2 linked regions of the Arabidopsis thaliana genome follow. The protein of the gene in region 1 interacts with the protein of each later gene in a pairwise test. Each region holds a gene or a part of one and is shown on either strand. Other genes may lie near its edges. The genes, in order: AT5G43690 and APG7.

Region 1 (3,926 bases):
TATTGTAGTTTTTATTTGAATTGTGGCAAGACTTTGGGTTCGATTTGAAATGAAAAACTTTGGTTTCATTGCATAATGTTTAACCTGTATATATATAATAGGAGAGTCCTCTCTCCATTTAGGGTGTCCATCTAAGCATCCATATAAGCAACACTATTTATTTTATGTTAAAATAAATTTAAACATTCATTTAGTGCATATTTTTGTTACTTATAATCATAAAAAAATGAATAAACAAAAAACGAATTATGTAAAATAAATGAGCTGTTAAAATAATAAAGTTATACTATAACTTTTTTGTTAGTAGTAATAATCTATTATACCACACATTTTATTGTGCCTTTACGGTTAGGTGTATCGGTATTTACTCGGGCAATCATCATATCTTGAAATAGTTGTATTATGAATATACATGGAGTTGTGTCAAATTCACACTTTTGATTTTTGGGCCAATCACTATGCATTATTTTATTGAAAGACAGTCAATACTCATAAATCAAAGGAACATAAGAAACAGAAGGTAGTTTTATTATAATGCATATGTGAAAAGCTACAAACCACAAAGAACACGAATCTAGAACTTCAAGTCCGAACCTTTTAATTTCTCCTCGATGATCATGTCGATTTTGTTCTCCATTTCGGGAGTTAGATGATTCTTCCAGTCACCAACTTCTCCTTTGCGGAAATAGCTTTTGTAGTCATAGTTCATCCATGTTTTTCCGGTTTTGTTAACCTCCAAACCGCTCAGATTACCAAGAGAGCATAGTTCCAAGAGTTTGCTAATCGAACCACTATCTTCTTCTTCCTTAGTGAAAGGAAACCCCAAAAACTCGGCAAGCCTCTTGACCTGGACACACGGCTCTGTTTTCATTTCCTCGTACCTCATGAAAAGGACATGCTTGGGGTTTTCCAAGCTGCCTCTCCAATAGCTTAGAGCATGGTCCCAAAACGGACCATAGAAGCTAACTCCGCCACAGAATGACTCGAACATTGACTCAAGAGTGCTTCTAGATACTTCATTGTTGCTATACTTGGACCTGAAATGCCAATCCGATATCAAAACATCCTTTATGTTCCTGCACATATACACAACCTTGCATGGAGAACCCTTGAGGCCCTCTTTGAAGGTGTGTAAAGGCATGTGAGTCGAAAACAGCCTCGGGGATGATGTTGAGAACTTGGTTAAGTCCGGTGTTGAGGTTTTGAGATACATATCGAACTCAAAGAACGGTACTATGCCATGAGGATTATCGGATAGCAAAGGATGTGTGAGGGGATCATCATCAAAAGGCTGTTTAGATCTCTCCACGATTGCGACTGAGAGTGCCTTGAGCCAAGTTGTACCGGATTTGGGGAAAGACGCGAGAATAATGTCGGTGTCTTGCGGCTGGAAGTTTCTTTGGTAGTTGATGACTGCTTGGAGAGTGTTGTGGTAATACCAACATCCTTGGTACTTGCAGAGCTTCACATGAGAATCTTGGTATGTAGGAAGTGAAGAGATCAGAGTTTTTGTTTCTTCACTTAGGTTGTCGTCTCTCGCGATCACAGGAAGATCACTTTTTCCAGCCATTTCTTTCTTAATATGTTGTACACAAATGTGTTGTTTCAATATGCAAACATCACCTATATGAGTAACTCAAGTTTCTTGTTGGATGAATATTTTAGCTTTAAAATAGTAACAATTAGTGGTGGTTGAGAGAATATCTTGATGTTAAATATGTGTTGTGGTTGTCGTCTCTTCATTGCATAGTGCGTTTTAAGCCAATTTATTTGTTAATTTGTGCTACTACAACATGTTTTATTTTAAAATGCAAACATTATTATTTAATTTCTGGTAGGTACATATTAGTCAAGTTTCTTGTTGGACGAATCTGATGAATATTTACTTCCAAAGTAGTAACAATATTGAATATTATAAGCTATACAACAGCTACCCTAATACTGTATATACAGTAAAACTTCTATAAATAATAATGTTGGGATGTTATAGACCTTTGTTAATTAAGCAAAAGCTTCCCTTTAACCCAACTCTCTCTTAGTGGTTATGAATCAATAGAGACCCTTATATAGTCTTGATACAACTTAATCATAACCTTAATTTTCTTTTATAAAGGAAAACTTTGAGAAAACCATGGATGTCCATTGGATTTTTATAACTACACTTGTAAAAATACACAAAATTTTATAAAATTTAATAGATCTCTACTCTTTAAAAAAACCCAACCAACTCTATGCAAATCCAACTCACACTAAACCTCCGAAGTAAACAACAAAACCTAAACCTATAAAGCGGAAGCATTAATTACAAGATGAAAGAGTGAACTGACTTCGCTCCAAGTTTAGCTCACTTGTTGCCGCATCAGAAACAAAGGTCCCTCAGATTCTTGGCTCATCGAACATAAAAAAAAAAACAGTTAAATAACAAGGCCTACTCTTTTGTACCTTGCCGGTGTCTTGTGATCGATGATGGTCCCCAAAACTTTTGAGTTCAATTTTCTCCTTTCCTGTCACTGAAAAACTTCCCTGCAACACTCACAAGAATAAAGAAAAGAGTTTAATCAATACGAGTTTTGAGTTTTTTTGCTTTGATCTTAACTGTACAACAGATAGACTAAAGAGGTTGTTTTGTCTCACCTTTCAAAGCTGGAGTTTCTTTCTCGGCTTGTGCGAAAAAGCTTTTCGCCTTGTGTGCTACTTCCGCTTCAAGAACCGCCTCTAACATTAAATCAGATCCTCTTGCACTCTCTGCAACCAAACATATGGGAATAAAGTGAGCAACTTCGGTTTCTAAACTCAAGCTATAAAAGATTCTACCTTTGCGTTGAGGAAGCAACTTTGCCATCTCAGCTGATACTGGAAGAACAGGTGAATCACTGTTTAGACTGTGAGTTTTTCCATTGACTGTCTCAGATAATCGTGCAAATGATGTTGCTTGAGCGTGCAGGTTAACAGAAGCTGACGACGAGCCACTAAATTCTTGAGCCTTATATGAACATAAAAATACAAAAGTGTGAATTTCACAATTCAATAAATAAAAAATGGATCAAGAAGGATCATAACATCAAAAAGACCTTTGTATAATGATCTACAGGCTTCTGTTTTTCTTCAACATTAACGGATGTAACAATCCCTAAAATACAACAAAACCAGATCATGAACAACAACATGCAAGAAAGAGTAATGACTATTGAGTGTTTTCTATACCATTGGTGGTGCTTGGACTAGGTTCTTGAGTTTTTTGGTTATCCACTCTTCGAGTCAAAGGACTAGAATCAAATAGAGAAAATCTTGCTCCATGGCTAATCGCATCTACTTGTGCTCGTAAATCTTGAACTTCTTTCGATATCTAAACCAAGTACGAGAGTAATGTAAGGCAACAAGACTTCAAGGAATATGTCATTCGAATTCACTACAACAATGATGTTGAGATAAAACAATGTTGATGAAGAAACAATCAAACCTCTTGCATCTGAGGTTGTTTCATGACACCATCCAAGTGACCACGAGCCATATTGATGTAACCAATGGCTCGTCCGAATAATCTTCCTCCTGCTCTAGCAATAATCGGAAGATCCTTGGGTCCTGTTAAATCAGAGATTCACATTTGATTCTTCCAATTAACACTCAAATCATTCGATTCCAGAGAAATTTGGGAGAAGAACACAAAGATCGGAGCTGGTAAAGCTTTTCGATTGAAGAGAGACTAACCTACAAGAGCAGCTGTGGCGCCGACGATGAGTAAGAGCTCACCGTAAGAAAGCCCAAGCATTGCTTCGTTCACCGGCGTTCCTATCGTCGGTTTCGTGTTGGTCTCGCCGTCTCAGGGAAGACGAAAGATCTTTTTGATTATTCCTTACGAGTCTTGTTGGGCTCCAATAATATGGGCCGTGAAGCCCATTTATTGATATTTTTGCAAGACGGGAGAA
Region 2 (3,926 bases), 1.1 Mb from region 1:
GTCGAACGCATTGAACATTTAAATAGCATTCCTGCCGGAAGAACTTTCAAACTTGCGGTAAATCAGTTTGCTGATTTAACCAATGACGAATTTCGTTCCATGTACACTGGTTTCAAAGGTGTCTCGGCATTATCTAGCCAAAGCCAAACTAAAATGTCGCCGTTTAGGTACCAAAACGTTTCTTCTGGTGCTTTGCCGGTTTCTGTTGACTGGAGGAAGAAAGGAGCTGTGACCCCTATCAAGAATCAAGGCAGCTGCGGTATAACTCAAATCTTTATTCATATATATATAAGTGAAATCAAATTGAACCAACCGAAATTTATGTATTCAATCAATTTGAGTTAATTCATAGTGAACAAACCGATCCAAACCAAATCCATAGTGTAACTGACCGAATCGAATAACCATATTTTTATTAAATTTTTCTATGTTAAGTTATATATATTTTGTTTCATACCGTTTTATTGAGATATGTAGTTAGACACATGAAAATATTTATGATAGTGACACTAATGAGTGATGTTTTTGTAGGATGTTGTTGGGCGTTTTCAGCGGTTGCGGCTATTGAAGGAGCAACACAAATAAAGAAAGGGAAACTTATATCTTTGTCAGAACAACAGCTTGTTGATTGCGACACAAACGATTTTGGCTGCGAAGGCGGTTTAATGGATACTGCGTTTGAGCATATAAAAGCGACTGGCGGCTTGACAACTGAGTCAAATTATCCTTACAAAGGCGAAGACGCTACTTGCAATTCCAAAAAGACCAATCCAAAAGCAACTTCTATTACAGGTTCACTTTAGTTAAAGAGCTGGCATATAATAATTAAACAGATTAAACCGATTTTTAATCATATTATCCAAATTAATAAACATTACTATACTAGATAAAATTCATATTTTGAATCTTAAAAAGCTCATGTACGTTCACATATCATAGGTTATGAGGATGTCCCGGTTAATGATGAGCAAGCACTGATGAAGGCAGTGGCACACCAACCGGTTAGCGTTGGAATTGAAGGAGGTGGTTTTGATTTCCAATTCTATTCGTCTGGTGTGTTCACTGGAGAGTGCACTACGTATCTTGATCATGCAGTAACTGCGATTGGATACGGCGAATCTACTAACGGATCAAAGTATTGGATCATCAAGAATTCATGGGGAACAAAATGGGGAGAAAGTGGATATATGAGGATTCAAAAAGATGTCAAGGATAAACAAGGACTATGTGGTCTTGCCATGAAAGCTTCTTACCCAACTATATGAATTCAAAACCGTGTTAAGCTTTTAATTGTGTATGTTTGTGTGGGATTGATGTCTAAAAATAATTTGAATTGTTTTATGTAAAAAAATTGTATTTAGACTGTTGTATGCATTTTATGAAATTGTAAGCTTATGTAATGCAAAGGATTGATAATTTTCGAAATGTTTCTTTCAAATTTCAACGGTATTAGCTAGGGATAATTTGAAGCATATGCACAATCAAATTCCACCAAGTAAAAATGAAAATTTGTTAAAAAAATGAAGTTTGAAAACTCTTAACCATTTACTGAGAAGACTGTAATAAACCGAATTTGGTTCAGTTTGATTTTTATGGAAAAAGACGAACCGTCCGGTTAATGCTTTTTACTTTTTTAAAATAAACCGGTTTTGGTTTGCTTGGATATAAAGCCGACCCGACCCGGATTGACCATGTTCCTTGCACGACTCCTTTTTCTCACCGTTCTCCGTCATCGTCTTCTTCTTTCTCACATTCATTGACTCTCCTCCATAATAAACATTGCAATCTCTCAGAAAGATAAGATCAGCCATGGCTGAGAAAGAAACTCCAGCAATCATACTTCAATTCGCTCCATTGAACAGTTCCGTCGACGAAGGTTTCTGGCATAGCTTCTCCTCTTTGAAACTCGACAAACTCGGAATCGATGATTCTCCGATTTCAATCACCGGTAAACACACAATCATCGAATTAAAAAATCATCCAATGCATCGATTTTTATATATTATTCGATGAGTCTATGCATTCGAGCTCTTATGATCCGTTTAGGTTAGAGAAGCAAAAAAAAAAGTTGAAAACTTGAAAATCCTCTGTTTTCTGGGCAAGTTGTTATGATCCGTTTAGGTTAGAGAAGCAAAAAAAAAGTTGAGAACTTTAAAAGCCTCTGTTTTGTTTAGTAGAGATTATTCAGATTTAGAATTTATGTGCTTTTTTGGAACTGAAATTTTCAGGTTTCTATGGACCATGTGGACATCCACAAGTCTCAAATCATTTGACTCTTTTATCAGAGTCATTGCCTTTAGATGAACAATCATTGATTGCTAGTACTAGTCATGGAAATAGGAATAAGTGTCCTGTTCCTGGGATTTTGTATAACACCAATACCGTTGAAAGCTTCAATAAACTTGACAAACAAAGTCTGCTAAAAGCAGAAGCAAATAAGGTAAATACAAAACTTAGCTCCGTGACTTGGTTTTTACTGGTTCTTGTCTGCAGAAGTTTTAACAATTTTGTTGGTGAATTTTAGATTTGGGAGGATATTCAATCAGGAAAAGCTCTTGAAGACCCTTCTGTGTTACCAAGATTCCTCGTTATCTCCTTTGCAGACCTTAAGAAATGGAGTTTTCGGTATTGGTTTGCGTTCCCTGCGTTTGTACTTGATCCTCCTGTAAGTTTGATTGAATTAAAGCCAGCTTCAGAGTATTTTAGTTCTGAAGAGGCTGAATCAGTATCCGCTGCTTGTAATGATTGGCGCGACTCAGATTTAACTACTGGTACTCAACATTCTTGTTCTATTTTTTACTATTAAAATTCAAGGAGTGGTAGCTGAAAACCTTTTGTTACTTCTCCGTGTTTTGCTGTAGATGTTCCATTCTTTTTGGTTTCGGTTTCTTCTGATTCAAAAGCTAGTATCAGACATCTTAAAGACTTGGAAGCGTGCCAAGGTGATCATCAAAAGGTATGTGTTAACTAACTCTTCCATATGCGTTAGATACAGAAAAAACAAAATTCACCTTTATGTGTCTCTCTTCCTGCAGTTGCTTTTCGGTTTCTATGACCCGTGTCACCTTCCTAGTAATCCTGGCTGGCCACTTCGAAACTACTTGGCACTGATTCGCTCAAGATGGAACCTCGAGACAGTTTGGTTCTTCTGCTACAGAGAGAGTCGTGGTTTCGCTGACTTGAACCTTTCTCTTGTTGGTCAAGCCTCAATTACACTTTCATCAGGTGAATCAGCTGAGACTGTACCTAACTCAGTGGGATGGGAGCTTAACAAAGGGAAACGTGTACCCCGATCCATTAGCCTTGCTAATTCCATGGATCCAACAAGGTACATTTTTGCTCTGTGTCAATGATCTACTCAACTAAATGGGTAAAATCTGATTAGACAAACGGAATCACGTTCTTTCGCAGGTTGGCTGTTTCTGCTGTCGATTTAAACTTAAAGTTAATGAGATGGCGAGCATTACCGTCTCTTAACTTAAATGTATTGTCCTCTGTCAAATGCCTTCTTCTTGGAGCTGGTACATTGGGTTGCCAAGTTGCTCGTACCCTTATGGTACGTATTGAAGAAAATGCGAGATTTGACATTATTTTACAAACTCACTGATTAACTAAGAACTCGTTTATCTTTTATTTTCTTAGGGTTGGGGAATCCGCAATATCACCTTTGTTGACTATGGAAAAGTTGCCATGTCTAATCCAGTCAGGCAATCTCTCTATAATTTTGAAGATTGTCTAGGTCGTGGTGAGTTTAAAGCTGTTGCTGCTGTTAAAAGCCTTAAACAGATATTTCCAGCAATGGAAACTAGTGGAGTTGTTATGGCTATACCGATGCCCGGACATCCGATTTCTAGCCAAGAAGAAGATTCTGTTCTCGGTGATTGTAAACGCCTTAGCGAGTTGATTGAATCTCATGATGCGGTGTT

What was found.
Region 2: the proteins of AT5G43690 (region 1) and APG7 interact in a two-hybrid assay, tested with the Arabidopsis thaliana proteins (one large-scale study listed by BioGRID).

What each region holds. Positions count from the first base shown.
Region 1 is NC_003076.8:17,543,917-17,547,842, reverse strand, and holds AT5G43690 (P-loop containing nucleoside triphosphate hydrolases superfamily protein), read right to left. Parts: upstream 1,732-3,926; 5' UTR 1,571-1,731; coding exon 575-1,570; 3' UTR 358-574; downstream 1-357. Other genes in the region: AT5G43680 (uncharacterized protein), read right to left, coding at 2,489-2,523, 2,635-2,745, 2,815-2,983, 3,072-3,130, 3,205-3,346, 3,461-3,582, 3,709-3,769. UniProt on the Arabidopsis thaliana protein: Sulfotransferase that utilizes 3'-phospho-5'-adenylyl sulfate (PAPS) as sulfonate donor.
Region 2 is NC_003076.8:18,613,495-18,617,420, forward strand, and holds the start of APG7 (ThiF family protein), read left to right. Parts: upstream 1-1,680; 5' UTR 1,681-1,809; coding exon 1,810-1,948; intron 1,949-2,228; coding exon 2,229-2,440; intron 2,441-2,524; coding exon 2,525-2,771; intron 2,772-2,861; coding exon 2,862-2,956; intron 2,957-3,035; coding exon 3,036-3,328; intron 3,329-3,411; coding exon 3,412-3,556; intron 3,557-3,642; coding exon 3,643-3,926. Other genes in the region: SAG12 (senescence-associated gene 12), read left to right, coding at 1-259, 532-792, 940-1,265.